Macaca mulatta: one gene and its partners. The protein of the gene in region 1 interacts with the protein of each later gene in a pairwise test. Links are inferred from orthologs where the notes say so. Each region holds a gene or a part of one and is shown on either strand. Other genes may lie near its edges.

Evidence for each region.
Region 2: the proteins of EEF1G (region 1) and KLHL18 interact in binary tests that used the Homo sapiens proteins (3 or more experiments, as listed by UniProt). The two-hybrid records come from large-scale screens. The link is inferred for Macaca mulatta from reciprocal best matches to the Homo sapiens genes EEF1G and KLHL18.
Region 3: the proteins of EEF1G (region 1) and ILF2 interact in a two-hybrid assay, tested with the Homo sapiens proteins (2 studies listed by BioGRID and IntAct). The two-hybrid records come from large-scale screens. The link is inferred for Macaca mulatta from reciprocal best matches to the Homo sapiens genes EEF1G and ILF2.

The regions. Positions count from the first base shown.
Region 1 is NC_133419.1:11,489,695-11,499,734, forward strand, and holds the start of EEF1G (elongation factor 1-gamma), read left to right. Parts: upstream 1-4,268; 5' UTR 4,269-4,277; coding exon 4,278-4,289; intron 4,290-5,349; coding exon 5,350-5,508; intron 5,509-6,206; coding exon 6,207-6,270; intron 6,271-6,421; coding exon 6,422-6,564; intron 6,565-6,992; coding exon 6,993-7,136; intron 7,137-10,040. Other genes in the region: TUT1 (speckle targeted PIP5K1A-regulated poly(A) polymerase), read left to right, coding at 835-944, 1,103-1,213, 1,386-1,478, 1,890-3,028. UniProt on the Homo sapiens protein: Probably plays a role in anchoring the complex to other cellular components.
Region 2 is NC_133407.1:110,682,114-110,691,419, reverse strand, and holds part of KLHL18 (kelch-like protein 18), read right to left. Parts: intron 8,422-9,306; coding exon 8,184-8,421; intron 4,373-8,183; coding exon 4,253-4,372; intron 2,225-4,252; coding exon 2,113-2,224; intron 1,411-2,112; coding exon 1,024-1,410; 3' UTR 1-1,023. UniProt on the Homo sapiens protein: Substrate-specific adapter of a BCR (BTB-CUL3-RBX1) E3 ubiquitin-protein ligase complex required for mitotic progression and cytokinesis.
Region 3 is NC_133406.1:113,366,599-113,376,334, reverse strand, and holds the start of ILF2 (interleukin enhancer-binding factor 2), read right to left. Parts: upstream 6,632-9,736; 5' UTR 6,544-6,631; coding exon 6,539-6,543; intron 5,845-6,538; coding exon 5,785-5,844; exon of another isoform or gene 5,753-5,784; intron 5,494-5,752; coding exon 5,451-5,493; intron 4,258-5,450; exon of another isoform or gene 4,239-4,257; coding exon 4,134-4,238; intron 3,759-4,133; coding exon 3,681-3,758; intron 3,341-3,680; coding exon 3,238-3,340; intron 1,098-3,237; coding exon 1,032-1,097; intron 713-1,031; coding exon 596-712; intron 1-595. UniProt on the Homo sapiens protein: Chromatin-interacting protein that forms a stable heterodimer with interleukin enhancer-binding factor 3/ILF3 and plays a role in several biological processes including transcription, innate immunity or cell growth.

The DNA of each region.
Region 1 (10,040 bases):
TGTTCCTTAGAATATTACTTTCAAGGGATGTAGAAAAGAGTTCTGCGGTTGAATAAATTTGGGAAAGTCAAAATTAGATGCAAAAAGTTTTCTCCATTTCCTCCCTTCTCCCCTTGCCTTGCCTTCTCTTTCTCCGTTCCTTCCTTCTTCTCTCCCTTCCTGTCTTTGTTTCTTTGCATAGTAAAGGCTCTTGGCAGTCTTTTTTTTTTTTTTTTTTTTTTTTTGAGATGGGATGTTGCTCTGTCACCCAGGCTGGAGTGCAGTGGTGTGACCATGGCTCAAAAGCAGTGTTAAGAATAATAGGCCGGGCGCGGTGGCTCAAGCCTGTAATCCCAGCACTTTGGGAGGCCGAGACGGGCGGATCACGAGGTCAGGAGATCGAGACCATCCTGGCTAATATGGTGAAACCCCGTCTCTACTAAAAATACAAAAAACTAGCCGGGCGAGGTGGCGGGCGCCTGTAGTCCCAGCTACTCGGGAGGCTGAGGCAGGAGAATGGCGTAAACCCGGGAGGCGGAGCTTGCAGTGAGCTGAGATCCGGCCACTGCACTCCAGCCTGGGCGACAAAGCGAGACTCCGTCTCAAAAAAAAAAAAAAAAAAAAAAAGAATAATGTGCTGTGAATGTCCAGGATGGGCGTACAGGATGAAGTGTTTCCCGAACTCCTTTGTCTTTTTGCACACTGTCTCACAAGATCAGTGTTTGAACAACCTTTGGGGAAACTGTTTTGGCCTTATTCCAGCTGGCCCCAGTTATGCAAGTCTGGAATGAAAGCTGGGGGTGGTAGGTTCTGATGTCCCCAAGCCCTAACAACCTTGTCCCTGCTTCATCCCAGGCTGGCCCTGCATAACTCCCGTTTCCTGAGTCTCGTCTCTGAGCTAGATGGTCGAGTCCGGCCCCTCGTGTACACCCTCCGCTGCTGGGCTCAGGGTCGGGGGCTTTCAGGTGAGAATGAATCAGGACAGACTTGGGGCTGAGTCAGGACAAAGGCAGGGATTCAGGGAGAGAAGGGAGGTCAGAATGGGCACTGAGGTTGAGAAAACTGCCAGTGGGGGGATTCGAAGCACCTCTGATCTAACTGGAATTACTGCTTATTTACCCAGGGAGTGGCCCTCTTCTCAGTAACTACGCCCTGACCTTGCTGGTGATATATTTTCTTCAGACCAGGGACCCTCCTGTGTTGCCCACTGTATCCCAGCTCACCCAGAAAGCAGGTACTCAGCCTAGCTTCCACCCTCTCCATCTTGTTAGCTTCCTCTCTTCTTCATCACACTTAGATACACCAAAGCAACTCTGGGAATGAGATCTCTGCTATCACCCCCATTTCTACCCCAACCCTCAATCTCCCTGCTTCCAGACTGACTCTCAACTTTTTTACTTTCACAGGAGAGGGGGAGCAGGTGGAAGTCGATGGCTGGGACTGCAGTTTCCCCAGGGATGCCTCAAGACTGGAGCGCAGCACAAATGTGGAGCCCCTCAGTGAGTTTGGGGAGCCAGGTAGAGGACTAGTAATGATGTTCATCAACAGTAGGTAACATATATCACACTGTGTGCCAGGCATGGTTCTCACAGAAAACCTGTGAGATACCTAATATTATTACTGCCGTTTTACAGATGAAGAAACCATGTTTGGGAGCAATTAAGTGACTTGCCCAAGGTTACACTGGCTAGCAGGGAGCAGCAGCATCTGGGCAGGGAAATCATGTGGGGGCAGGGAGAGAGGTCTGACCTCTTGTTTATAGGCATCAGAGAAGCCTATCTTCCTGGGACTCTGCTGAGCCCCTTGGAAGGGGAAAAGAAAGTCCTGCTAAGGAAATGGCTGTGGTGCAGGACCTGTGTCAGTTCTGGCCTCTAAATGACTCCCTTTCCCCACTCTTCCTCCTCCTCCAGGTTCCCTGCTAGCCCAGTTCTTCTCCTGTGTATCTTGCTGGGATCTTCGTGGCTCACTGCTGTCCCTGCGGGAGGGTCAGGCACTGCCTGTGACAGGGGGCCTGCCCTCTAATCTCTGGGAGGGTCTGCGCCTTGGCCCCATGAATCTCCAGGACCCTTTTGACCTGAGTCACAATGTCGCAGCCAATGTGACCAGCCGGGTGGCTGGGCGCCTACAGAACTGCTGCCGAGCGGCAGCCAATTACTGCCGAAGCCTCCAGTACCAGCGCCGTTCCTCCCGGGGTCGGGACTGGGGGCTGCTCCCTCTTCTGCAGCCCAGCTCCCCCAGCTCCCTACTCTCTGCTACTCCGATCCCTTTACCCCTTGCACCCTTCACCCAGCTCACTGCTGCCCTGGTGCAGGTATTCAGGGAAGCACTGGGGTGCCATATAGAACAGGGAACCAAGAGACCGCGGTCAGAAGGAGGTGGAACTGGGGAGTCTGCTCAGGGAGGGACAAGCAAAAGACTGAAACTAGATGGACAGAAAAAGAGCCATGAGGAGGGGAGAGAGGAGCAGCAGGGATGTGCAGGGGACGGGGTAGAAGAGATGGTTATAGAGGTTGGAGAGATGGTGCAGGACTGGGCCATGCAGGGCCCTGGGCAGCCAGGGGAGCTGCCCCTGATGACTGGAAAGCATGGAGCCCCTGGAGAAGAGGGGCAGCCCAGCTATGCAGCCCTGGCAGAGCGGGGGCCCAAGGGACATGAGGCAGCCCAAGAAGGGTCCCAGGGTGAGGCAGGGCAGGGGGCATCTCTGCCCTCCTCAGTGAGCTGGCGCTGTGCCTTGTGGCACCGAGTGTGGCAGGGACGGCGGCGAGCCCGTAGACGCTTGCAGCAGCAAACCAAGGCAGGAGCCGGAGGTGGTGCTGGCACAGGAGCAGGGTGGCTGGCAACTGAGGCTCAGGTCACCCAGGAGCTGAGAGGACTGAGTGGTGGCGAAGAGAGGCCAGAAACTGAGCCCCTGCTGAGCTTTGTGGCGTCTGTCTCCCTGGCTGACCGAATGCTCACTGTGACCCCGCTCCAGGATCGCCAAGGCCTGTTCCCTGATCTCCATCATTTCTTACAGGTTTTCCTCCCTCAAGCACTTAAACATCTGAAGTGAAGACATGGCCCCTAAAGGGCAATAAAGCTGCTAGTTTATTAATACAGAGTCTCCCGTTTCCTTTCATTTCCATCTGGTCATAATGCTTCGCCTCCCCCAGAACTTCATGAAGCTGCTCTCCTCTGACCCCGAACATGGGTCTCTCCCTACTGCTCTCCACCCCAGCAGCCTCTCCTTCCTACAGTTCGCACAGCTTGCGGGGAGTGCGGGGGCAGCACCGTGCGTGGCACCTGGCACCCGCGCAGAGTTCCTGAATGGCAGAGCGGTGGGTGGCTGGAACAGTACTGAGAAGAGCCAGGTTTGCCTCCACATTCTTCCTGCCGCCTCAGATTAATGGGGACAAAGATGGAGATTTGCGTTCAGGGTTCTTCATTCTCTCCTTTAAACGAGGAGAGTTCATCCCGTTCTTAAACTGGGTAAGAGATTTCAAACCTGAACATGAGTCAAAAGCCATGAATATCAGAAGCGACGATGTCGGGTCTTCCAGCGTCAGCCCCTCCAGGGGCCGAGTCCGGAGGAGGCGGGAGGGACAGGGCGCGTTCTCCCTCGTGTCCCTGCCCTGCTTCGGGCCGGAGGGCCGGTGTCCTTGCTCGCAGTAACAGCACCCTGGAGCTGTAAGGGGTTAGATGTGAGCAAACGTCACTTTGGCAGGCGGGTTCAGACCGGGGCCCCTGTTAGACACTCATCCCTTTCTGGAGGAAAAGCAGAGCAGGAACTAAAGGATATAGCACACACACTGCCACCTCCGCGCAGCAGTCGTTCCTCGCTCCCATGAGTTTCACAGAATCATGTGAGGGGCTTGGCAGAACCTACCATCGAGTCACTCGTCCCTGGGTGGGCCAGAGGGGGACGCCCCCAGCAGCCTGACGGCGCCAGGCCAGCAGCGGCGCCACGTAGCCGAGAACCGGCGGCTTTTCCAGCGGGTTCTCACAGCTTCCCCGCCCTCCACGCTGTCTACCTCCACGTCTAGACTCCAATTGGTCCGCTGCACCTGAGGGGCGGGCCAGTCAAGATCTCCAATGCGCAGGCGCGAGCTTTTTCCGCGCTGGCCAGCAGGCCCCACCCACTCCGTTCTTTTTCCAATTCGGCGCCACTGGATACCGAACTGTCGTACGTATGTCTTCTGTGTCGTCCTCGCTTTCCGGCTGCTGTTTCTCCACGGCTCTCCCCTTTCCCCCTCCTTTCTCTCCTGGGCGGCTTACTTTGCGGCAGCGGGGAGAACCCCACCCCCTTTCTTTGCGGAATCACCATGGCGGCTGGGGTAAGTTTGCCGGCGCTGGTGGTTCGGGTCATCCTATCCACCGCCATCCTTTGCCCGAGTGGGGCCAGTCGGCGCCAGAGGAGTTCTGAGGCTGAATGGGGAACTGATTCTGGGTCTACAGACCGTACTGCTGGAGAGCAGGGTTCCTACGGCCTGGAGGGGAACTGAGGCTGGGGCTCTCGGAGGCCAGAGGTGGAAGGGTCTGGGGAAGAGGAGAAAAGGGATGCCGAATCTGGGCCGTCCGAAGCCTGAAAAAGGGGTTCGGCTCTATTGCCGCCTTGAGGCGTAGTATCTGGGTAGGTTGACGAACTTCTGTGACCGTTTTGTGGAGTAACAGCGGGGACAGGGTGAAGAGCGGGTCTTTGTAGGCAGGTCCGGCTGGCACGGTTAAAGGTAGTCTGTCAGGGAGGTTTGGGAGCGAGAGGATTCTCCGGACAGTGAAGTCAGACCAATTGGAGTCCGCTGGCCAGCTTAATAGAGAAGGCAACGCTGGGGAACTTGCTGCGGGACAGGACCGGAGGGATGGTATGCGCGACACGGAAAGAAAGGCTTTTGAGGGAGAGGAGTTGATTTAAGAAGACGGCATGCCATCCCCTATCTCTGGCCACTCTGAGAGGAACTAGAAATCTCTCGATCGTTGTGCGTTCCTTAGAGCAGCTGAGCAGTAGAGTAGGCAGGCGCTCGGAACCATCAATGAATGAAACGAGGGCTCCGTGAAGGGAAGGGAGTATGTTTGTAGGCAGATGGAGTCTGATGGAGCTAGAAGTTCTGGATTTCTTGGGAGATAGATTTGAGGGAAAGAGAATGCTTCTAGAGGTGTCCTTAGGGAAGGTCAAATCTGTCAACAAGCTTTATTTAGCAGTTGGTGTGTAGTTCTGTTCTTGGTATTTCGGAGGATTCTGATTACATATGACAAGTGTTAAAGGACTTGGTTCACCAGAGGAAGTAAAAGGGTGAGTTGAACACATTGGGATTATTCAGGCAAGTCATCCTGGGGAGTGGCATTTAGGACTGGGACCCTAATGCTCTTATTAATTTTGTTCCTCTCTTTCTTTCATAGACCCTGTATACGTATCCTGAAAACTGGAGGGCCTTCAAGGCTCTCATCGCTGCACAATACAGCGGGGCTCAGGTCCGCGTGCTCTCCGCACCACCCCACTTCCATTTTGGCCAAACCAACCGCACCCCTGAATTTCTCCGCAAATTTCCTGCCGGCAAGGTGAGTTGGGAGATGGGGAGTGTCCTTCGGTTCTGAGAAACGAAGGCCTGGGATTCTATCATTCTGGAGATGGCCCCCATCTCTAAAAGAGAGCTTCCCATGTTATTTTCTTCAATATTTCAGTGATTTTATTTTGAGATAAATGCAGATTCACATGTAGTTGTAAAAAAAAAAAAAGTACAGAGCTATTCTGTGACTTTATACATTCACGAGTTTACTTTGTGGGAAAGAGAATGAGTTTTGACTAAGCATTTTCAGTGCAAATGTATCAGATTGTCTGTTATGGGCAGGATTCTTACCCCAAGGGGTTTACAGAGATAGGTGAAAAAACATGCTAAGAATGGAGGAGATGAAGTACTATGTGGATCTGGGTCACACACTAATACTTGCACTGATACATTGATACAGGAGTTACTTTTGGTCTTCTGCTTGTTTGATCCAGAGATTTCATACAAATATCTTGTAATATTCAAATCTATTGTGCTTCCTAGTTAACATTGTGAATTCAGATTGCAAAGGATGCCCAGCTCTTGAAGTATTTATTTATGGTTCTTGAGTATCAGATAGTATGGAGAGTTTGGATAGTGAGGATCGTCAGTCTTACATAAGTATTTTTATCCAAAGCAGTTTGGCTTCTGGTATTGGGTAGGGAGAAATTTTGTGTGTTTTACCTTATCTTTTCACTGCTTTGTCCCCAGGTTCCAGCATTTGAGGGTGACGATGGATTCTGTGTGTTTGAGAGCAACGCCATTGCCTACTATGGTAATTTGCAGGGGTATATGGGAATGGGAGAATTTGGAGGTGAGGGTGTACAAGAGGGTGTGAGCGGGGATGGATATGAAGGAATTCTTCAGGACCTGGACTGGTGTTGGCATTCCCCCAGAGTTCTGACCTTTGTGTTCTGCCTCTGCAGTGAGCAATGAGGAGCTGCGGGGAAGTACTCCAGAGGCAGCAGCCCAGGTGGTGCAGTGGGTGAGCTTTGCTGATTCCGACATAGTGCCCCCAGCCAGTACCTGGGTATTCCCCACCTTGGGCATCATGCACCACAACAAACAGGTGAGCCTTGGAACTTTGGGAGAAGCCAGGGGCAGGGGTGGCCTTAGCTCCTGGGTGTTGGGAGTAAGAAATAAAATAGGTTGAAAAAAAGGTGCCAAGGATATATAGGCAATGAGAAGACGTACTTTCTGGGGTACAAGTTTGAAGTAGTGGGCAGTTGATGGAGGAAGTGTCTGTCATGAGTGGTCACAAGAGGGATTGCTGCTGTGAAGAGATTATACCAAATGGTAAAGGGGGTGGCTGGACCAGAGGACCTCTAAAGTTCCTTTATGATATATTTAGAATGATCCTAGGGTCTGTCTCCATTGAAAGAGGGTGAGGGTGAGCTCAGACTTCTAGGTGAAATAGCCTTCTTAGTTCTATTAATTGGGGAGGTGAGGGAAAGGGATTGGTACCCACTGATGAGTTTTATCATGTTGAATCACTAGGCCACTGAGAATGCAAAGGAGGAAGTGAGGCGAATTCTGGGGCTGCTGGATGCTCACTTGAAGACGAGGACTTTTCTGGTGGGCGAACGAGTGACATTGGCTGACATCACAGTTGTCTGCACCCTGTTGTGGCTCTATAAGCAGGTGAAGTTTATGGAGAATCTATTTGGCAGAGGGTAGATGGGGATTAGAAGCAAAGTGACAAGGTATCTATGTTACCCTGTATTCTGCTGAGGGCTTGGAAAACAGCTAGAGCTGGGTGCAGTGGCTCACACCTGTAATCCGAACACAATGGGAGGCCGAGGTAGGCAGATCACCTGAGGTCAGGAGTTTGAGACCAGCCTGGCTAACATGGTGAAACCCTGTCCTTACTAAAAATACAAAAATTAGCTGGGTGTGGTGGCGCACACCTATAGTTCCAGCTACCTGGGAGGCTGAGGCACAAGAATCACTTGAACCTGGGAGGTGGAGGTTGCAGTGAGCAGAGATTGCCCCACTGCACTCCAGTCTGGGCAACAGAGTGAGACTTTGTCTCAAAACAAATAAACAAACAAAAAACAGCCAGGAATCCCAGGACTGAATACCATCACTTGCTTTCCCTTGTCTTAAGAAGTTGGGTAATGTCTTGCCTTTAGTTCCTGTTTGGCAGCTAAGATGTTTAGTTTGTTGCCATATTTCTTGGGAAGATTGGTTATTCTTAGTTGTGAAGACAGAGGTGATGATGGTGGCGAAGCATTAAGATCTTTTTGGAGGCAGGCCAGGCACTGTGTCTAACACCTATAATCCCAGCACTTTGGGAGGCCTAGGCAGGTGGATCACTTGAGGTCAGGAGTTTGAGGCCATCCTGGCCAGCATGGCGAAACCCTGTCTTAAAAATACGAAAATTAGCCAGGCGTGGTGGTGGGCACCTGTAATCCCAGCTACTTGGCAGGCTGAGGCAGGAGAATCACTGGAACCCATGAGGTGGAGGTAGCAGTGAGCCAAGATTGAGCCACTGCACTCCAGCCTGGCGGACAAGAGCGAGACTCCATCTCAAAAAAAAAAAAAAAAAGGCTCTTTTGGAGACAAGTACAGGTTGAAGCCTTGGCTTCATTGTTTACCAGTGTAGGTAAAGAGTTATTTGTGGGTGAATTGCTTTAGTCCCCGTTTTTTACTTTTTGCAATCTATAAAATCAGGGTAGTAATAATCACTGTCAAGGTTATTGGGTCAAAAAAGAATGACATGTCACTGGTTTCCAAATAAAAGCTCTTGGACTCATGCTGGTCCAGAATAGTAATGTGATCATAGCAAAGAGAAAAACACTTACTGCATGCCAGACCCTGTGCCAGGGGCCTCATGGGGATCATCTTAGTGAGTCTAATAAGTGGTAGAGTAGAATTTGAACCCAAGTACTGTGGAACCAGCACTCTGATTGCTATGTTCTGTTTCCATGACAAGATTTTTTTCCTCTTCTGATCTTTGCAAACTAAAAAATAACAACAGTTCTACGCGAAGCTGTTTATTCTTATTTGTCTTTGACCGTGGCCAATACACCAGACACTAACTTTAATTTGAAGGACTATCCATTATTCTTTTTTTTTTTTTTGACAGAGTCTTGCTCTGTCACCCAGGCTGGAGTGCAGTGACACGATCTTGGCTCACTGGAACCTCCACCTCCCAGGTTCAAGCAATTCTCCTGCCTCAGCCTCCCAAGTAGCTGGGATTACAGGCATGCACCACCAAACCCAGCTAATTTTGTGGTTTTGCCATGTTGGTCAGGCTGGTCTCGATCTCTGGATGTGAGGTGATCCACCCGCCTTGGCCTCCCAAATTGCTGGGATTACAGGCATGAGCCACCGCGCCCAGCCAGGGCTGTCCATTCTAAATCGGTTTGAATGTTCTTTACTTTTTGAAGTTTGATGGGTGTGTGTGTGTGTGTGTGTATAGTATGGCCAATGTAGATAGTAAATATCTATAGTGTTTAGATTTTATTTGGCAAAATAAGTAGTTGATACCTCTCTGTGGGTCTCAACCTTTTTTTTTTTTTTTTGTGACGAGGTCTCGCTCTTGTCCCCCAGGCTGGAGTGTGATGGTGCGATCTCGGCTCATTGCAACCTCCGCCTCCCGAGTTCAAGCGATTCTCCTGCCTCAGCCTCCCGAGTAGCTGGGATTACAGGCATGTGCCACCATGCCCGGCTAATTTTTGTACTTCTAGTAGAGGCGGGGTTTCACCGTGTTGGCCAGGCTGGTCTCGAACTCCTGACCTCAGGTGATCCGCCCGCCTTGGCCTCCCAAAGTGCTGGGATTACAGGTGTGAGCCACCGCGCCTGGCCGACATGTGAAATTTAAAAGATTGGAAACAGTAGCTCTGAAATAGTTTTCTAAAGGAGCAAGACAATTATTATTCCTACTCCTAAATAGAGGATGGACCCAAGCGTCCATCCATTAAACTGTACTGCACTGAACAAAAAGATTAGAAAAAGAAATGGAGGCGGGGTGTGGTGGCTCATACCTGTAATCCCAGCACTTCAGGAGGCCAGGGTGGGAGGACTGCTTGAGCATACGAGTTCAAGATCAGTCTGGGCAACATAGTGAGACCCCATCTCTATTCCATCTCTTATTACTTTTTTTTTTTTTTTTTGAGACAAAGTCTCACTCTGTCACCTAGGTTGGAGTGCAGTGGCGTGATCTTGGTTCACTGCAACCTTCTCCTCCTGGGTTCAAGTGAGTCTCCTGCCTCAGCCTCTGGAGTAACTGGGACTACAGGCGTGTGCCACCACGCCCGGCTAATTTTTTGTTTTGTTTTGTTTTTTGAGACGGAGTCTTAACTTTGTCACCCTGGCTGGAGTACAGTGGCACGATCTCTGCTCACTGCAAGCTCCGCCTCCCAGGTTCACACCATTCTCCTGCCTCAGCCTCCCGAGTAGCTGGGACTACAGGTGCCCGTCACCACCCCCAGCTAACTTTTTTTATTTTTAGTAGAGACGGGGTTTCACCGTGTTAGCCGGGATGGTCTTGATCTCCTGACCTCATGATCCACTTGCCTTAGCCTCCTAAAGTTCTGGGAT
Region 2 (9,306 bases), on another chromosome or scaffold:
ATTCAGCAGATAGCTCTCTACACCTATGATTTTAAAAGTCCTCTGACAGTGGGTGTGAAGACAAACCCCATGAGCACCTTACTACAGGCCCAGTCAAGAGTGTACTGATTCCACACACACTGGGGCTCAGAGGGAACCCCCAGCTTGATGCGAGGCCTCAGGACCCTGGGATCCGAATGTGGGGTGGATACCGCCCTTCTCCAGTTAGACGGTTTTCCATTTAAACACAGATTTGCCCTTAGTGTCTTTTACGCTTTTTTCTTCCTGCAAAAGTTTGTTCACATAAAAAAAAATTATTTTTCTTTCCAGTTTCTTTCAAGTGTTTCTTTGTTTAAATTTCCTTCAGTATCTTTCAAGTATCTTTTTTTCCCTTCTGTTCTCCTGGACAGATGGAAAAGGCCTCACTGAAATCCCAAAATTAGACATGGGGAAAACTTCTCTTCTCCCTGCTTACCCAGCAATGAGGACAGAATCCTTGGTGCCCCACTGTGGAAGAAGGAACGTGCCTGTGTGCAGCCCTCCACTGCTGTGGCCACACCATCTCAGGCACGGAGGACACTTGGGTCTGTCCTTTCACCCCCAACTACATCCCAGTTTCCAGCAGGCTTGGACATTGCAGTCTCCCCATGGCAAAGTGGCCAGAACTCGGCTGGAGAACAAGCAGGCGAAGGGGAGCATCAGATGGAAGGTCTTCTGTGAACAGCGGGCCCACAGAGAGGCGGTGGGTAGGAGCTGGGCCTGGATGGAGCCTGTGTTCGTGTGGACCAGAAAACAGTTCCACGTCACCAGCTGCGGGATCCAGAGGAGCTTGTTTTCCATGCTGTGCATCTTGATGACCCAGGCCTGAAGGTCACAAGGGTGGCACAGTAGGGGAGGGCTTAAGCACCTGGAAAAACTGTACCTCCGGCGAGCTCGCATTTCGCCACCTCTTCTGGTCCACTGCCTCTCCTGAGGGACTGTTCCTGGAAGGATGCGCCTATGTCTGTACCAGATCCCTGCCCCACCACATCCCCATCCTCTGCCTTAGATGGTGAGGAGAGGGATGCAGCCCACACCGACTCCTCCCTCATGGCATGCCATGGGGGCCATGAATGTCCAGCGGTCCGTCTCTGGGTCATACATCTCCACTGAGCTTAGGTTTGACTGTCCGTCGTAGCCCCCTACAGCGTAGAGGCGCCCACAGCTGGCCACCAGGGAGACCCGGCTCCGGCGCGTGTGCATGGGGACAATCAGGCACCACTGGTCTGCCACAGAGCTGTACATCTCAGCAATGCTGAGGAAGCCAGAGCCATCGTAGCCCCCGCAGACAAACATCTTGCTCCCCAGGGAGGCGGCTCCGTGCCGGCAGCGCTTGTTGAGCATGCCAGCTGCAGGGTGCCAGGTGGCAGTGTGGTGGTTGTAGTGCTCCACCTACAGTGGGGAGAGAGGCACAGGTACAGGACAGTCAGAGACAAAGCTCAGTCCATAGAGTGACCATTGCAGGGCACAGCAGCCCCCATGATGTCAAACTCCTGTGGGAGGCATGGGGATGAGGAGCTCTGCCAGTATTCCCTCTGCTGCAGGCCTGCTCTTTGGCGTATGGGGCAGGGAGAGGTCACCTCACCTGACCCTTTCTGTCTGCATCTAAGGAAACAAAAAAAAGGATGTGCCCAAGGATGCAATGCTAGGTAGTGACAGAACCTGTATGAGAGCTGGGTCTCCTGTAATCTCCAGGGCTTTCCACTGCGGCACTGACTGACTATGGAATGACTAGTAAATGGCTGTTGAGCCTTTTTTACAGAATAAATACAATTTCAAACAAATTATCCAAAAGAATACAACTGTTTGCAAATTTACACTTGTAGATTTGCAGTGTCTATGCAGTGTCCGACAGACAGTAGAACAGGGTGGTGGCTGCAGATGTGACTACCCTACACCCTTCTTTTGCGTACACTGGCTCATTCTCTGTAAGTTCAGAATTTCAGAAGACGCAGTGGATAGCCTGAAACCTCACTAGATGATACTTTATTCAGCTATGGCAAGGCTGAAGTTTTTTCAATTAATGATCTTCCAAAATAAATCTCAAAGACAGAAGAAGTAGGTGCCCTTATCCCAGGGGGAGCCCAGACTCACACTGCTGAAGATCTGCAAACCATCGTGGCCGCCTGACACATATATCCTGCCCTCAAAGACCGTAACCCCAGCAGCACTGCGATTCGAGCTCATTGGGGTCACCACTGTCCACCTTCAGGAAAGAGTCAAAATAGGAGGGAAAGCATGAGATTCAGGGTTCTTGTCCCCCCAAGATAGCCTAGCAGGGTTCAGGTGAATTGTGCTGGCCATCTCTCTACCTCTTATCACCTCTCCCACCACCTCTCTGACAGCTCTCCCTGGCTGCCGCCTCTCACCCAAGCTGCAAACCGACAGCCCATCTTCTCTGCTCATCTCCACGGCTGCTCAAAATCATTGTGTCTCATACAAGGCCTCTTTCTCTTACAGTTCTGCTCCTCCCTGCACTCCCTGCCTCGTTAAGCAGACGACCAGCTCTCTAGCTGCTGTACTTATAAATCTCAGTGCTGTTCTGGCTGCTTCTCCCTCACCGTCGACATTCCTGTGGTCCCCCAAGTCCTGGCTGGTTTGCTTCCGAGTCAGTGCTTGTTCCCATCCCCACTGCCAGTGCCCTACCCTGACCTCTCATCTGGACCACTGCCACAGCCTCTTTACAGGCAGCCTGGATTTCACACCAGTCCCATCCAACCCCACCCAGCCAGAGGGATTGCTTCTCCTGTACCTGGACCATGTCCGTCCAGTGGCTCCTCACTGTCTCCTCTAAGACAGTCCAGGTTCCGTCATGTGGTTTTAAACTTTTTTTATTTTTGAGACAGGGTCTCACTGTCACCAAGGCTGGAGTGCAGTGGTGCAATCATAGCTCACTGCAGTTTTGACCTCCCAGAATCAAGCAATCTTCCTGCCTCAGCCTTCTCAGTAGCTGGGACTACAGGCTCACGCCACCATGCCTGGCTAATTTCTCTCTCTCTCTCTCTTTTTTTTTTTTCGTAGAGACAGGGTCTTCCTATGTTGCCTAGGCTGGTCTCGAACTCCTGGGCTCAAGTTACCTTCCTGCCTCGGCCTCCCAAAGTGTTGGGATTACAGGCGTGAGCCACTGTGCCCGGCTCTTCATGTGGTTCTTTACCTCTTGGTCCTCATCTACCCTTCAGCTTCACCCCACACCATATGCTACCCACTCTGCTCCGTCTCCCATCCACACACTGGGCTCCAGCCCATGAGAGGATCATTGCTGTTCTCGATTACAGTGAACACTTTATCGCAGCCTCGCTCCTTGTTGTCTCCCCGCCTATGATGAGCAAACACCTCCCCCTGGCTATCCATGACAGGTCTCACCTTGGAAGACATCCCTGCTACCCTGTCCCTTCCTGCAACCCTGGGGAAGATGCAGGTTCTCTCTGCTCTGTGTCCAAGAGCTTCTGACACAGGCCTCCAGGGTAGGACGATCATGATGCAACCTACGGCCCAACCACACTGGGTGCTTTAAAGGATCTCAGACACCCAGCTTGCTGTCTGATCCATAGTAGACCGGTTAAGTGAACAGAATACTGACTTAAAGGCATCCTAATAAGTCCATTCAACTAATTTGTTTATATTTTATTATATAAGATGAGAGGATTCAAACACTAAAATGAAAAACTCGGGCTAACCTTGTCAATGTTTTTCAAAGAGTGTTCCACAAATGAGTCCCACAAGACGGTGACTGGTGTGTATTAAAAACCCGAGGTTAAACAGAGTTATTCACTACAGGGTTTCTTAGAGCCTTTAAAATGTTAATATATCTTATGGAAAGACAAGGACTCTGGCAGTTCAGACATCAACATTTTCCATGCCTATCTGACCACAGAACTTAAAAACTTTTTATTTTTTTTCCAAATCATATCCTACCCACTTTGGAACATGCTGTTCATCTACTTCTTATCCCCTCTTGCCTGTATTTCCATTAAAATGGGCTGATTTAGCTAAAAGGTACAGACCATTAAATAACTATTTCCAAGCATCTATGTAGACTATTTGTTTTAAAATTTTATTTACTCATTCTTTCACTTAACCAAGGGTTATTAAATATCTGGTATATACAAAGTACTATAGGGGAAAAAGGGTAAGACATTCTCTACCCTCAAGAAGCTTAAATTTAAAAAACTGCAGTTCTGATTTTTATACTGTTTATCAGCTCCAGTTGCCCCAAGGGAGTTGGATTCCTTACTTGTCCGTCTCAGGTGAGTAGGTCTCCACGGAGCTGAGGGAAGAGTTGCCATCGTAGCCCCCACAGACGTAGATCTGCCCGTCCAGCACGACTGTCCCCATGGCACTGAAACAGACAGAGCTGTCATCCCAGATGAGCCGTAGCCTTCCTGGAGCAGCCTCTCTTGCCCACTGAGAAACAAACCTACCTACTGCCTCTTTCTGCAACCTAAATCTCAGGTATGTGACTAAGTAAAGGCAAAAAACTGAGGTGACAGAAGCTGCCCCATCATTCCTCTTGTGCCCCACCCTTCTACCGCAGGCTGCCTCCCCTCCCCGCTCTTCTCTGTCCTTAATCTTTCTAAAATGCTCACCTTCCACCTCACCATGTGAAGGTTGAATTTACCTTGAAGGCCCAACGCAACTTCCTCTTTCCTCTTCCTCCCCTTTGTAAGAATTACTCTTTCCTGCCCCTACACTCCCTGAGTGGCTTATTACAGCCGTTGTTACAATCATTCATTCATCCATCAGATCTTTATCAGCTGGGGTTGAGAGTGGTAAGCAAGCCAAAGTTCCAGCCCACAAGGCACTTATGTTCTGACATTATAGGCTACCAGGAATCTATCTGCCACTTCTGTTTGTGTGTAATTTTTAATCAAAGCCTTGATCTGTCACTCAGGCTAGAGTGCAGTGGTACCATCAGAGCTCACTGTGCCTTGAACTCCTGTGCCCAGTCGATCTTCCTGCACTTCAACCTCCCAAGTAGCTGGGATTACAGGTGTGCACCACCACACCCAGCTAATTTTTTTTTTTTTGAGACAGGGTCTTGCTATGTTGCCCAGGCTGGTCTCAAAACTTCTGTCCTCAAGTTATCCTCTTGTCTTGGCCTCCCAAAGTGCTGGGATTACAAGAGTGAGCCACCACACCCAGCCAATCTATCTGCCACCTCTTAATAAGTGAGGACCTCCTGGAAGACAGGAAGGTCCTCACTTCATCTTCATCTGTGTGACCTTCACAGTGATAAGTATGATGTCCTGTATGTAACAGGCACTGAATGTATGTTTGTTGTGTTACCTCTGCTTTTTCCCACTCAATTCACATATGTTGTTTTCATCATGTGCATGGCCTCTAATTTATCTTAGTGGTTGATGCCACAGCTCCTGTTTGCTGTGCATTTACTACATGTGTCAGGTACTCTACATTTGCTATTTTCTTTTTTCTTTTTTTTTTTTTTTGAGACGACGTCTTGCTCTATCATCAGGCTGGAGTGCAGCGGCACAATGATGGTTCACAGCAATCTTGATCTCCTGGGTTCAAGGGATTCTCCCACCTCAGACTCCCCAGTAGCTGGGACTACAGGCACATGGCACCATGCCCAGCTAATTTTCTTTTTGTATAGACGGGGGTCTCACTATGCTGCCCAGGCTGGTCATGAACTCCTGGGCTCCAGCAATCATCCTCCTGCCTTAGCCTCCCAAAGTGCTGAGATTATAGGTGTGAGCCACTGTGCATGGCCCACTTGCTATTTTCAGCCCTTAGCACACCCTGCAAGGAAGGAAAGAGCACCATAATCACTGTACAGACAGGCAGCTATAGCTTGGGGAGGCTGAGGTCTCTCCTCAAGACTGCCCAGAGAGAGGCCTGCCTCAGATTTAAATGAGACAAGCCCAACTACCCAACTCCTCACATGCCAAGTTTTTCTAATACCAAAGACCCAGGGGTCTGGTGTAATCATGTAATCTTCCACTCTACACAAAGCCTTATAAGGAATTCAGCATGAATGCCAAGCTGTATTTTCAAATGTGATGCTGGTGAAGATTAAAAATGAATCTAGGTTTCTAACAAACAGGAAAATAAAACATACCAGGCTTAATGCTACCTTTTTTTTTTTTTTTTGAGACAGAGTCTCATTCTGTCAACCAGGCTGGAATGCAGTGGCACGATCTTAGCTCACTGTAACCCTTGCCTCCCTGGTTTAAGCAGTTCTCCCTGCCTTAGCATCCCAAGTAGCTGGGATTATAGGCGCCCACCATGCCTGGCTAATTTTTATATTTTTAGTAAAGACAGCGTTTCACCACGTTGGCCAGGCTGTTCTCAAACTCCTCACCTTAGGTGATCCGCCCTCTGTGGCCTCGCAAAGTGCTGGGATTATAGGCGTGAGCCACGGTGCCTGGCTTGCTGCTACCTTTTAAATGTACATAGTAATCAAACTGATCCACAGAATGTCCCTTTCAGGGACATGATAACAGACCCCCTGGACCAGCCCAAAAGAGGAGAGGGACTTGCCTTAGGTAAGTACTGAGGGAAGATCACACATTTACTAGACATGATTACTATCCTTCTGGACACGGACACAAACATAAAAATTACATAACAAAACAGGTGTTGAACAATATGAAAATGAATTAAGAGGTGCCACAAAACTGCATGAGATTAACTATCAACTAGGTAGTAAAGGTGAGTGTGAAGAGGAGAAAATGCTGATTAGCATGGACTGGAATAGTCCAGTGTAAGAAAGCTCTATGGGATGGCATAGAACACTGGGGGAGATGGGAAGGAAAGATGGCACGATGTCACTAACTGGCAGGACAGACAGCTGTGTGGGATGTCAGGAGAGAAGTGACTAGGAACGCTTTAAGGGAGCCTATAATTTAAAAGGGATGTAATGGAACCGGGCCCACACTAATAACAGGGTATTAACCACAGTGAAGGAAAGGAATACCCAGAGGACTTTCCTCCAAGACAGCACTCTAAACCAAGTAACATCAAAGCAAGGAAGTGGTCCAGAGCATACACACAAGGAAGGACAGTTGACTGCAGTCAAAGCAAAAAAGCTACTCATGGTTGGGGACATGGAGCAATGAGTCACTCAAACACAGGAAGCTGCAAAGTATCCAAGCAGCAAAAGTGGGGATGGTGGGAGGAAAGGACTCCCAACGCATTCTTGGGAGGGGCAGATCTTACGTATTTTTTTCTTCCCAAAGGAACCTACCCCAATGTTTTGTGAACTGGTCTCACCAGTACAAAGGCAGATCCCTCCCAGCTCACATCCACATGTGAACGCTGCTGGATGTGGAACAACATTAGGCATATGTCAAGGAAGCTCAATGTGTAAAAGCGATCAATGCAGAGCTGTCCTGGGTAATGGGCAAGGGGGCCCTGGGCAGCTTTCCTCTCCCCTCCTTGGGCTGCGCCAGCCTTTCGGCTGCCCACACGTGTGACGACTCCATCATGTGTCTGACATAATGAAACATGCCACCTGTTGTCACCTCAGCCTTAAGAAGGCTAAACACAGGCACCAGGATGTCTTCTAATCCCACTTCTTATTCGGGCAATATAAGCAGAGAAGTGGAGGGAGCAGGTAGCTAGAATGTACTGAGTGACATACCAACTTGGCCCACCTTGCAAATACCTATGTTTTCCTGTCTAGGAGAATGTGTGTGACCTAAATAAAAGAACACTGCTTTGGTTCATATTCTCCCCAGGTAGTGGAAACTCATGTGTGAGGGGAGTCCTGGGGAAGGAAGGTATACAGAAAAACACCTTGGATTTCCTTTTATCACTAATAAAGGTAAATCCTCCTTATTCTTCAAGTTTCAACTTTAATCCCACCTCTTCCCTGAAATCTTCCAGAAGTTCCAGTCCAGTTTCTCTCCCTCCTTCAATCTTCCATAATACACATTTCCAGTCCTTATCTGGCACTTAAAATAACAACACAACTTCCACATGTCCACGTCTGGTCTCCCCAAGTTCCTCAAAGGACAAGGCGGGTATTTTACTTTTAAGCAGATGGGGGCTTGCTCCCAGGAGGTACCGGCAGTGGCTGGCCTGGCTGCAGGAAACTCCTAGGCCAAAGCTTGTATTTTACTTTACTGTGTGCCCCTGCTTTTCTAGCATGGCGCTCCCCAGGTGCTCAGTGTGTATGTTCGGGCTGCACGTGGCTTCCAGAATACCTTCTCTTGCTATTCATGCTCCCCACTCTGGTCCATGTGTCTGTCTCCGGGTTGTACGCCTCCACAGTGCTCAGCCGTAGCTGGCCGTCATATCCTCCAATGGCATAGAGAAGCCCGTTCACCACAGCCACGCCAACACGGCTGCGGGCTGTTGTCATGGGACGGCACCTCTCCCAGTGATTGGCGATGGGGTCGAACACTTCCACCACATTCAGGGAATCACCTGCATAAAAATTTGCTACTCAAATTAAAACAAATGAGACCACTTGTTTAGATCACAGCTATTGGGCATTGATTATACGGAACATTTGACTCAATTCTATTAGCTCTTCCCACAGAATTACTCAAGGCACAAGGGCCCACTAAGAAATTTCAGCCATGATCACCTCAAACCTAATTCTTTAAGGAAAATCAGAATCAGACAGGAGGTATTTATTTTTTAGAGAGGGCAGTTTTCAGTTACAATCAGGTACTCCACCTATTTAAAGTCAAAGGTATAGGCGAATCGATACAATATTTCCTCCAGGCAGGAGGCATGCCAGAGGGACGGGCATGCGCTCCAGTGCTTTCATTTGCTAGTGGGTGACCCAAGGCAAGGGGCTTTGTGTCTCCACCCTCTGCTTCACACATGAAATGGAGATAATCTTTACGGATTAAATGATGTAACAGGTAAAGCACCTAGCATGGTTCAATATACTTAGTGCTCAATAAATAGTCACAGCAGCAAGGAATGATCATTCCAGCCCTACCTTTTGCATCAGGTTTTTGTGATGATCAAATAAAATAACCCCCTCTTCCTGTGGTATGCTGCTATGGGGCACTTGGCATTTCATTTGCACACTGCTCCAGCGTGCACTGAGTTGAGGACTTACCTGTTCCAGGCCCTATGATTAACAAGCAGCAGCTAGTACCCAACTCTCATTAACATTCAATTAAAAACAAAACTGGGCCAGGTGCGGTGGCTCACACCTGTAATCCCAGCATTTTGGGAGGCCAAGGTGGGCAGATCACTTGAGGTCAGGAACTAAAAACCAGCCTGGCCAACACGGTGAAACTCCATCTCTACTAAAAATACAAAAATTAGCTGGGTGTAGTAGCATGTGCCTGTAGTCCCAGCTACTCA
Region 3 (9,736 bases), on another chromosome or scaffold:
AGCTCACTGCAACCTCCACCTCCGGGGTTCAAGTGATTCTCCTGCCTCAGCCTCCTGAGTAGCTGGGATTACAGCTACTCATGCCCCACTAATTTTTGTATTTTAGTAGAGACGGGGTTTCACCATGTTGGCCAGGATGGTCTCCAACTCCTGACCTCAGGTGATCTGCCTGCCTCAGCCTCCCAAAGTGCTGGGATTACAGGCGTGAGCCACTGCGCCTAACCAACTTTGCAATTCTTTAAGCCACCCCGTGTTTCTCATATCAGCAAATCACTTGTCTAAAAATCACTAGAAGCAGGCAAGAGCGATGATTTTCTCCAAAAGCCTATATCCCCCTCCATAAATATTTTTTCGGTCCTTTTTAAGTCCTCCAAATGCTTTCTTGGTCACCCCATCTGAAAATTCCACTGGCAAGCTGATAAAAAAACTATTTCCAGATTACAGAGGGAGAGAGCAAAGCTCAGAATAAACCTAAGTTCTTCAATTCCCAGAAAGCTGCATGTGGAATAGCAACAAGCTAAGTAAACTAAACAGCAACAATACCATGTTTTGAATATCCCCTAAATTTTCCAGCAATGGAAAAAAAAGAACTAACAATGGAGTTCTGGGTCCAGTTTTCGAAGATTGGGTGGCACTGTTGTAATGAGAATCTTCACTGTAGCATCAGAAGAACTGATTTCAAAGCCAGTTTCGTTGGTCAGCATGGTTAAAACTGAAAAAACAGAATAAAGAAAAACTGTAACTCACATTTCCTTTAGATGACCAAAGTTAAATCCAGGGTGCGGGGGAACAGGTGGATTTTAAAAACAGCACAAAGTCCAGAATGAGAATTTAGAATACAGAGCTTTAGAAGGGAGATCAAACAGATCTCCCTTGAACACCTTGAACACCTGAAGCCCCTGCCAAAAACTCCCACAACATAAAACTCTGCATTTACTCTTCCATCTGGTCTGACCTGATTTTGTTGAAAGTGTACTTACAAGACCTGGTTCCTATGGCTACTAAATACATAATCAGCAACAAATGCAAACCTTCAGAAGGATCCTGTGCTCTTAGGCTTTCCACAACTTTGTTCCCCAGGGCAGCAACAGCTTCCACTAATTGACAGAAAAGGACATAATGTTGTAATAATTTATTTATCTAGACTTTCTATATATCTCTAAGCTACTTTGCACTCTCATTTCTGTCCCATATCCAAGGCTGAAGCAAGGGTAAATAATAGAATAAATACTTTTATAAGAGGAAGCCAAGGCCTGGACAGAAAAATTGTAAGACTCAGGCAACAGGACCCCTCCTGTACTCATATCCTCTTTCTACAGCAAGGTTTTTTAGGTCAGTGGCACTAAAAACATTTTGGGCTAGATAAATCTTTGGGGTGATGGGGATGTAGGATGTTTTAACAGCATCCATGGCCTCTATCCTTTTTCTTTTTTTGAGAAAGGGTGTCACTCTGTCACCCAGGCTGCAGTGCAGTGGCACAATCACAGCTCACTGCAGCCTCAGTCTCCCGGGCTCAAGCAATCCTCTCACCTCAGGATGCCGCTTTTTTTTCTTTGTTTTTTTTGAGACAGGGCCTCACTCTTGTCACCCGAGCTGAAGTGCACTGGCACTATCTCTGCTAACTCCAACCTCTGCCTCCCAGGTTCAAGCAACTCTCCTGCCTCAGCCTCCCAAGTAGCAGGGATTACAGACGCCCACCATCACGCCTGGCTAATTTTTATATTTTTGGTAGAGACGGGGTTTTGCCATGTTGGCCAGGCTGGTCTTGAACTCCAGGCCTCGGCCTCCCAAAGTGTTGGGATTACAGGCATGAGCCACTGCACCCGGCCCCACCTCAGGCTTCTGAGTAGCTGGGACCAAAGCATGCACGGCCATGCCCAGCTAATTTTTTTCTTTTTGCAGCTACAGGGTCTCTCTATGTTACACAGGCTGGTCAAACTCCTGGGGTCAAGTGATCCTCTTGCCTCAGCCTCCCAAAGTGCTGGGAATACAGCCACCACACCTGGCTTCCACCGTTTTTTGATGCCAGTAGCACCCCCTTGTTTTAACAATCAATAGTACCTCCAGATACTGCCAGATATCCCCTGGGTGGCAAAATTACCTCCAGTTGAGAAACATGGCTCTACAGTAACCTGCTATACATTCTTTCAGACACACACACTTCAGCGTTTGTCCCTTATCACTCATTAAAAAACATTTGTCAGGCAGGGTGCAGTAGCTCACGCCTGTAATCCCAGCACTTTGGGAGGCCAAGGCAGGCGGATTACCTGAGGTCAGAAGTTTGAGACCAGACTGGCCAACATGGTGAAACCCCGTCTCTACTACAAATAGAAAAATTAGCCGGGAGTGGTGGCACATGCTTGTAATCCCAGCTACTCGGAAGGCCAAGGCAGAACAGCTAGAACCCAGGAGGGGAGGTTGCGGTGAACCAAGATCACGCCATTGCACTCCAGCCAGGGCAACAGAGAGAGATCCGTCTCAAAAACAAAAACAAAAACTAAAAACATTTGTCTTACAAACATCCTTTCGTGAGGCCAGGCGCGGTGGCTCAAGCCTGTAATCCCAGCACTTTGGGAGGCTGAGACGGGCGGATCACGAGGTCAGGAGATCGAGACCATCCTGGCTAACACGGTGAAACCCCATCTCTACTAAAAAAATACGAAAACTAGCCGGGCGAGGTGGCGGATGCCTGTAGTCCCAGCTACTCAGGAGGCTGAGGCAGGAGAATGGCGTGAACCCGGGAGGCGGAGCTTGTAGTGAGCTGAGATCTGGCCACTGCACTCCAGCCTGGGCGACAGAGCGAGACTCCGTCTCAAAAAATAAATAAATAAATAAACATCCTTTCGCACAAGAAATTTGAGCTTTCAAGATCCCTAAGGGCTGGGCACGGTGGCTCACGCCTGCAATCCCAGCACTTTGGGAGGCTGAGGTGGGCAGATTGCTTGAGCTCAGGAGTTTGAGACCAGTCCGGGCAATATGGTGAAACCCTGTACCTACAAAAAATTAAAAAATTAGCTGGGTGTGGTGGCACACATCTGTAGTCCCAGCTACTCGGGAGGCTAAGGCAGGAAGATCACTTGCTGTAGTGGAGGTCAAGGCTGCAGTGAGCCACAATGGCACCACTGCACTCCAGCCTGGCCAACAGAGTGAGAATCTGTCTCAAAACAAAAAAAGATCCCTAAGCCCCTAATCCAAGTGCTATGTTCTGTTCCCATGACCAGAAACAGGCACACTCACATGTTGGCAGGATCTTAAGTATCACCACCAGGTCAGCCACATTGTGTCCTGTAGTCATTGTCCCCTTTTTATAGGATCCCACCTGTCGAACTTCTTCAATTTGCTATTGGAAAAAGGATTTCGGGGGAAAAACAATTTAGAAGAAAAAAAGGTGCCTAAGTCCTCCCAGAACTGTTACAACATAGCCACCTGTTACCCAAATTAGGAAGTAAGAGGTGAAATCACCCCAGAACCACCACATGAAAGCCTGATACATCACAGATAGCATAACAGTGATACAAGTCTTGTCCCCAAGATCAGTACTACAAAGAAATCCCACTGTATGTTCTCATTTTAAGCTTGGCTTTGGATAATAGACAACTGAAAATTAAAAGTCAGGAGCCAAGGAAATTTCGACACTACCAAAGGTGCCCTTTCCTAAAACTAAATCATCAAAAACTCACCACTTCAAATGTCCCTGGAGCCACAATCAGATTATCAATCACATTGTTTATTTTTGTCACCAGAGAAAGGATAGATGCCTGAAAAACAGCATGAAACAATACTCGAAGATGAAAAATTAGAAGCAAATTCTCAGAGTTTGAGTATTTTCTCCTAATCCCTTCCATACGAGCTGACTCAATACTGACCTAGGACTTTAAAAACACTTCATTCTGGCCTTGAATATATGGAAAGAGAACAACTCTTTATCCCCAATAAAAATAAGAATGCATATGTAATTTGTTTATATATCCACCTGGCTGTCTCCACCCACAATGAGAAATAAGGAGAACAATTAAACCCTCTGTGGATTTCAGGCTCTGTTAACACCATTCTTAACCTTACCAACAGTTACTCTTTACCAATACTTTTACCTGCTTTAGAGACATTTCTGGAAGACAGCCAAAAGAACATACCTGTTCAGCAGAATTAGGAGCCAGGTCCTGATTCCTCTTCAGCAAGGCCTCACTGAAGGAGGTTTCATCAGGTGCTGGCTTGACCCGGGGGAAGGCCATTTCACACTAAACCAGAAGTAAACAACTACATTCCATTTGCCGAAAATAATATACAGGAGAGATTGTTTTTTCTATTACTACGACAGAAAAAGGTTAAAAATAGAAAATTCTACACTTGTTTTTACTCCTTAATTTGTTCAATTAGCTGGGCATGGTGGCTCACGCCTGTAATCCCAGCTGAGGTGGGAGAATCCCTTGAACACAGGAAGCGAGGCTGCAGTGAGCCAAGATCGTGCCACTGCACTCCAGCCTGGGCAACACAGTAAGACCCTGCCTCAAAAAAAAAAAAAAATTTTGTTCAAAGGCCAGGCATGGTGGGTCACGCCTGTAATCCCGGCACCTTGGGAGGCCGAGGTGGGCAGATCGCTTGAGGTCAGGAGTTCAAGATCAGCCTGGGCAACATGGTGAAACCCCGTCTCTACTAGATACCCAAAAAATAGCTGGGCATGGCGCCTATAATACCAACTACTTGGGAGGCTGAGGCAGGAGAACTGTTTGAACCTGGGAGGCAGAGGTCCTGATTCCTCTGCCTCCCGGGTTCAGTGCAGTGAGCCAAGATTGCACCACTGCACTCCAGCCTGGGTGACGGAGTGAGACTCTGTCTCAAAAAAAAAAAGAAAAAATGTTCAAACAAGGATACAAGCTGGAATAGCCATAATTTAAGCTATCACTATCTTTATAGTAACAAATTAGCCGTAGATACGATTACTTGTTCAGAACAAAGATTATAATCATGTTTAATGCCAACAGTAGTCAAGGAATTATTCTCCCCACCATGCTTACACTGTTTCTGTAGGTAAAGCAACACACAGTTGACTCAAAACCCCAAGTCTTTTCAAAAATCACTTTCCCCCTCACTTCAATCACCATTTTTTTTTTTTTTTTGGTAGTGGTGCCATCTCAGTTCACGCAACCTCCGCCTCCCGGGTTCAAGCGATTCTCCTGCTTCAGCCTCCCAAGTAGCTGGGATTACAGGCACACGCCCAAGCAACTTTTTTATTTTTACTAGAGATGGGGTTTCACCATATTGGCCAGGATGGTCTCAAACTCCTGACATCAGGTGATCCATCCGCCTCGGCCTCCCAAAGTGCTGAGATTACAGGTGTGAGGCACTGTGCCTGCCCTCTTCAACCACTATCTAACTTCATTAACTGGGAGATACTAGGCTCCATTTCAAGAATGGCCAGAAATTGTGTATTATTAACCCAAGGTACTCACCAAATAGAAGTCAAATGGGATATGTGGTACAAAGGGCCTGAACCTAAAACATGAAAAACAGCCAAATTATTCCCTATGTAGGAATCAAGTGAGATTTAAATAACACACCAACAATTTTGAAAACATGTCAGACCTCAGAATGAGTGACAAAGTCTCTGGGGAGGGAGAGAATCATTCTTAGCATAGTGGGGCCAAATTCATTTAGCAGGAGTGCGGAAAAGACCACAGTTGGCTCTCACAAAACCAAGTGACATTAGTCTATTCCAAAACTCCTATTTAGATGACAAGCAGAAACTAACAACTAAGTGCAGAGATGCTAAAAGCTGGCACTCACCCTCCTCCTGGGCCTCCTCTGGAACCAAAGCGCCCACCACGACCACGGCCTCTGTCACCCCTAGAAATGCAGATTTTATTTTGATCTCATTGAAGGAATACCCACCGGCCATATCATTTTAAGTTGGCTACTTTCATCCCTCGGAACCTCCCAACGGTAGGCAAGAGACCCCACTCACACACTCCTCCCCATTCCAAATGGTGCCCAGTTACACCCCCATAACCTCCTCATTCTGGATAAGTTAATCACAACCCCCCATCAAGTAATGATGGGGCTCAGACAGTGAGCCCTACACGAAATAACCCATAATCCTGGGCCACACGAATCCTAATACTTCGGAAGCTAAAGATTGCTCATTTCTTCATTAACGTACACATTTATCGGGCATGTCCTATATGTCAAGCCCTTCGCACTGAGGATGAATGCGGCTCGCTCCAGCATTCTCAGCCCGGATGACGGGGGCGGAGGGAAGGTGGGGAGCTCCTCCGGGGACTTGAGGACACCTCCTCATCGCAACCCTTCAGAGAGAGGTGTCGAACCCGCCTCCCCACTCCTGGGCCCCAACCCCATCCCGGGCCCGTTTCCCCGCCTCTACCGGCCTCACTCTCTCCCACTCTCTTAGACCAGGAGTTCTCAGGTTTTTGGCCAGCTCCCGGATACATGGTCCTTTTAGGTACTCCGACTTCTTTCGACCCACGTTCCCAAAGTTTTCCGTCGAATACCTGAAACCTTTCGACCACTTCGACCCCCTTACCTCATGGCGCCTTAAAACACGAACAATGGAGGCCGCACCAACCGCCCCTTTCCTCTGAGGAGCAGACAACTGAAGAGGAGTCTTGCCGGCGTGTCCCAATAAAACCCGGCGTGATTGGCTCCCGCCTTACCCCATCGCTTATGCCTATTGGCTTACTTTGTCAAACCGGGCTTATGAACCAATAAAAAACGCCTACTGTGTCAGGAACTAGCCAATAAGAACTGGTTCTATAGTAATGACGAATTTTTGATCAGACATTAGGTGGCACTGAAGAAGTCAGGACAACGACTACGTGGTCTTCTATAACAGTTATGAGAACGTTGGCCTTCAGATAGCAGAGTGGCGCAGCGGAAGCGTGCTGGGCCCATAACCCAGAGGTCGATGGATCGAAACCATCCTCTGCTATCGGAATTTTTTCATTGCCCTGTACCGTACACGTAATTTACATTACATTCAGTGAATGAAAATACCTTGCCGATTTTCCTACCCCAAAAACGCAAGCAGTATCAGCCATTTTTGCCACTAGCAGTTGAAGTTGATGGGGAAAAGGGAGTTTAGGCAACCATGAACACTACACGTCTACAAACTCGAAGCAGGAGAAACAGGTTTCAGATAGGAGGAGTATATTGATTGAATTAATGTGGAAAACAGGTGTTCCACCCGCCTCAGCCTCCCAAAGTGCTGGGATTACCGGCCTGAGCCACCGCGCCCGGCTTGGTTACATAAATTCTTTAGTGGTGATTTGTGAGATTTTGGTGCACTCATCACCCGAGCAGTATACACTGAATCCAACTTGTAGACTTTTATCCCTCATCTACCTCCCTTCCATACGTACTTTTTTGATATTTAATTTACTACAGCAGAACGTAAACATCTTAAGTCTAAACGTATTCTGTCCACATAACCACCATCCAGATTTAAATAAATGTTATTAATTTAAAAAAAAAAAAAAAAAAAAAGGGCCGGGTGCGGTGGCTTGTGCTGGCGGGCACTTGTAATTCCAGTTACTCAGGAGGCTGAGGCAGGAGAATCTTGAATCCAGGAGGCGGAGGTTGCAGTGAGTTGAGATGGCGCCACTGCACTCCAGCCTGGGTGATAGAGGGAGACTCCGTCTTAAAAAAAAAAAAAAAAAAAAAAAAAAAAAAAAAAAATCTTGCTTGAGGTTTGTTGAGCTTCTTGAATCAATGGCTTGAGGTTTGTCATCCATTTATATAATTTATTAGCTATTATATCTTCCAGTATTAGTTTTACCTATTATTTCCCTCCTTCCTGAACTCCAAAGACGTATTAGACTTTTCCCCCAGTAATCTCTTTGTCTCTTACCCTCTCTTCTATTATTTTATTTGTACACAGGGTCTCACTCTGTTGCCCAGGCTGGAGAGCAGTGGTACACCATCATAGCTCACTGCAGCCTCGACCCCCTGGGCTCAACAGACTCTCCCATTTCGGCCTCCCCAGTAGTTGGGACTACTCAGAGGCACAGGCCACAACACTCTGAGCTAATTTTTTTTTTTTTTTTTTTTTTGGAGATGGAGTCTCCCTCTGTCTCCCAGGCTGGAGTGCAGTGGCGCCATCTCAGCTCACTGCAACCTCCGCCTCCCCGGTTCAAGCGATTCTCCTGCCTCAACCTCCTGAGTAGCTGGGACTATAGGTACATGCCACCATGCCCGGCTAATTTTTATAGTTTTAGTAGACATGGGGTTTCACCATGCTGGCCAGACTGGTCTTGAACTCCTGACCTCAGGTGATCCTCCTGCCTCTGTCTCCAAAGTGCTGGGATTACAGGCATAAGCCACCTCCCTTGCCCCCGGGCTTATTTATGTATGTATGTATGTATGTATTTATTTATTTAGAGATGGGGTACTTTATATGCTGTCAAAGCTAGTCTTTTTTGTTTGTTTTTGTTTGTTTGTTGAGACGGAGTTTCGCTCTTGTTGCCCAGGCTCGAGTGCAATGTGTGATCTCAGCTCACAACCTCTGCCTCCTGGGTTCAAGTGATTCTCCTGCCTCAGCCTCCCGAGTAGCTGGGATTACAGGCATGCACCACCATTATCCATGCCTGGATAATTTTGTATTTTTAGTAGAGACAGGGTTTCTCCATGTTGGTCAGGCTGATTTCGAACTCCCAACCTCAGGTGATCCGCCCGCCTCGGATTCCCAAAGTGCTGGGATTACAGGCATGAGCCACTGCAAAGGGCTTTTACCCTCTCTTTTTATGTTTTTCATTCCTTTTTACCCATTCTTCATTTTAGGTAGTTTCTGCTGTCCTTTCTTCCAATTCATTACTTGCTCCTCAGTTAAGTCTAACATAGTATTAAATCTATCAATTGGTTCTTAATTTTGGTCTTTTAATGTTTTGGGTCTGGATTATTATTATTTTTGAGACAGGGTCTCACTCCTGTTGCCCAGGCTGGAGTTCAGTGGCATAAACACGGCTCACTGAAGCCTCAACCTCTTGGGCTCAAGTGATCCTCCTGTGTCAACCTCCAGAGTAGCTTGGACTACAGGCATATGTCTCCACACCCAACTAATTTTTTTAATTTTTGGTAGAGATAAGGTCTCACTATGTTGCGTAAGCTGGTCTCCAACTCCTGGGCTCAACTGATCCTCACCTCAGCCTCCCAAAGTGCTGGGATTACAGATGTGAGCCACCAAGCAGGACCTTAGATTTTCTATTTATTCTACTCCCAGGTTGCCCCTAGGAGTGCAGCCTTTTGAGATCCTAGCCCAAAACATGAAGGTGGTTTACCAAGATTATCACCTTTGGGGACATTTGGATTCCTTTTTTTTTTTTTTGAGAGTGTGTTTCCCTCTATTGCCCAGGCTGGAGTGCAGTGGTGTAATCTCGGCTTACTGCAACCTCTGCCTCCTGGGTTCAAGTGATTCTCCTGCTTCAGCCTCCCAAGAAGCTGGGCTTACAGGCGCGTGCCACCACTCCTGGCTAATGTTTGTATTTTTAGTAGAGATGGGGTCTCACCATCTTGTACAGGCTGGACTTGAACTCCTGACCTCATGATCCATACACCTCGGCCTCCCAAAGTGCTGGGGTTACAGGCATGAGCCACCGTGCCTGGCCCTTTTTTTTTTTAATTTTAAAAAATTGAGATGGGGTCTCACCCTGTTGCCCAGGCTGGTCTGAAATTCCTAAGCTCAAGCCATCCTCCTACTTTGGCCTCCTAAAGTGCTAGGATTACAGGT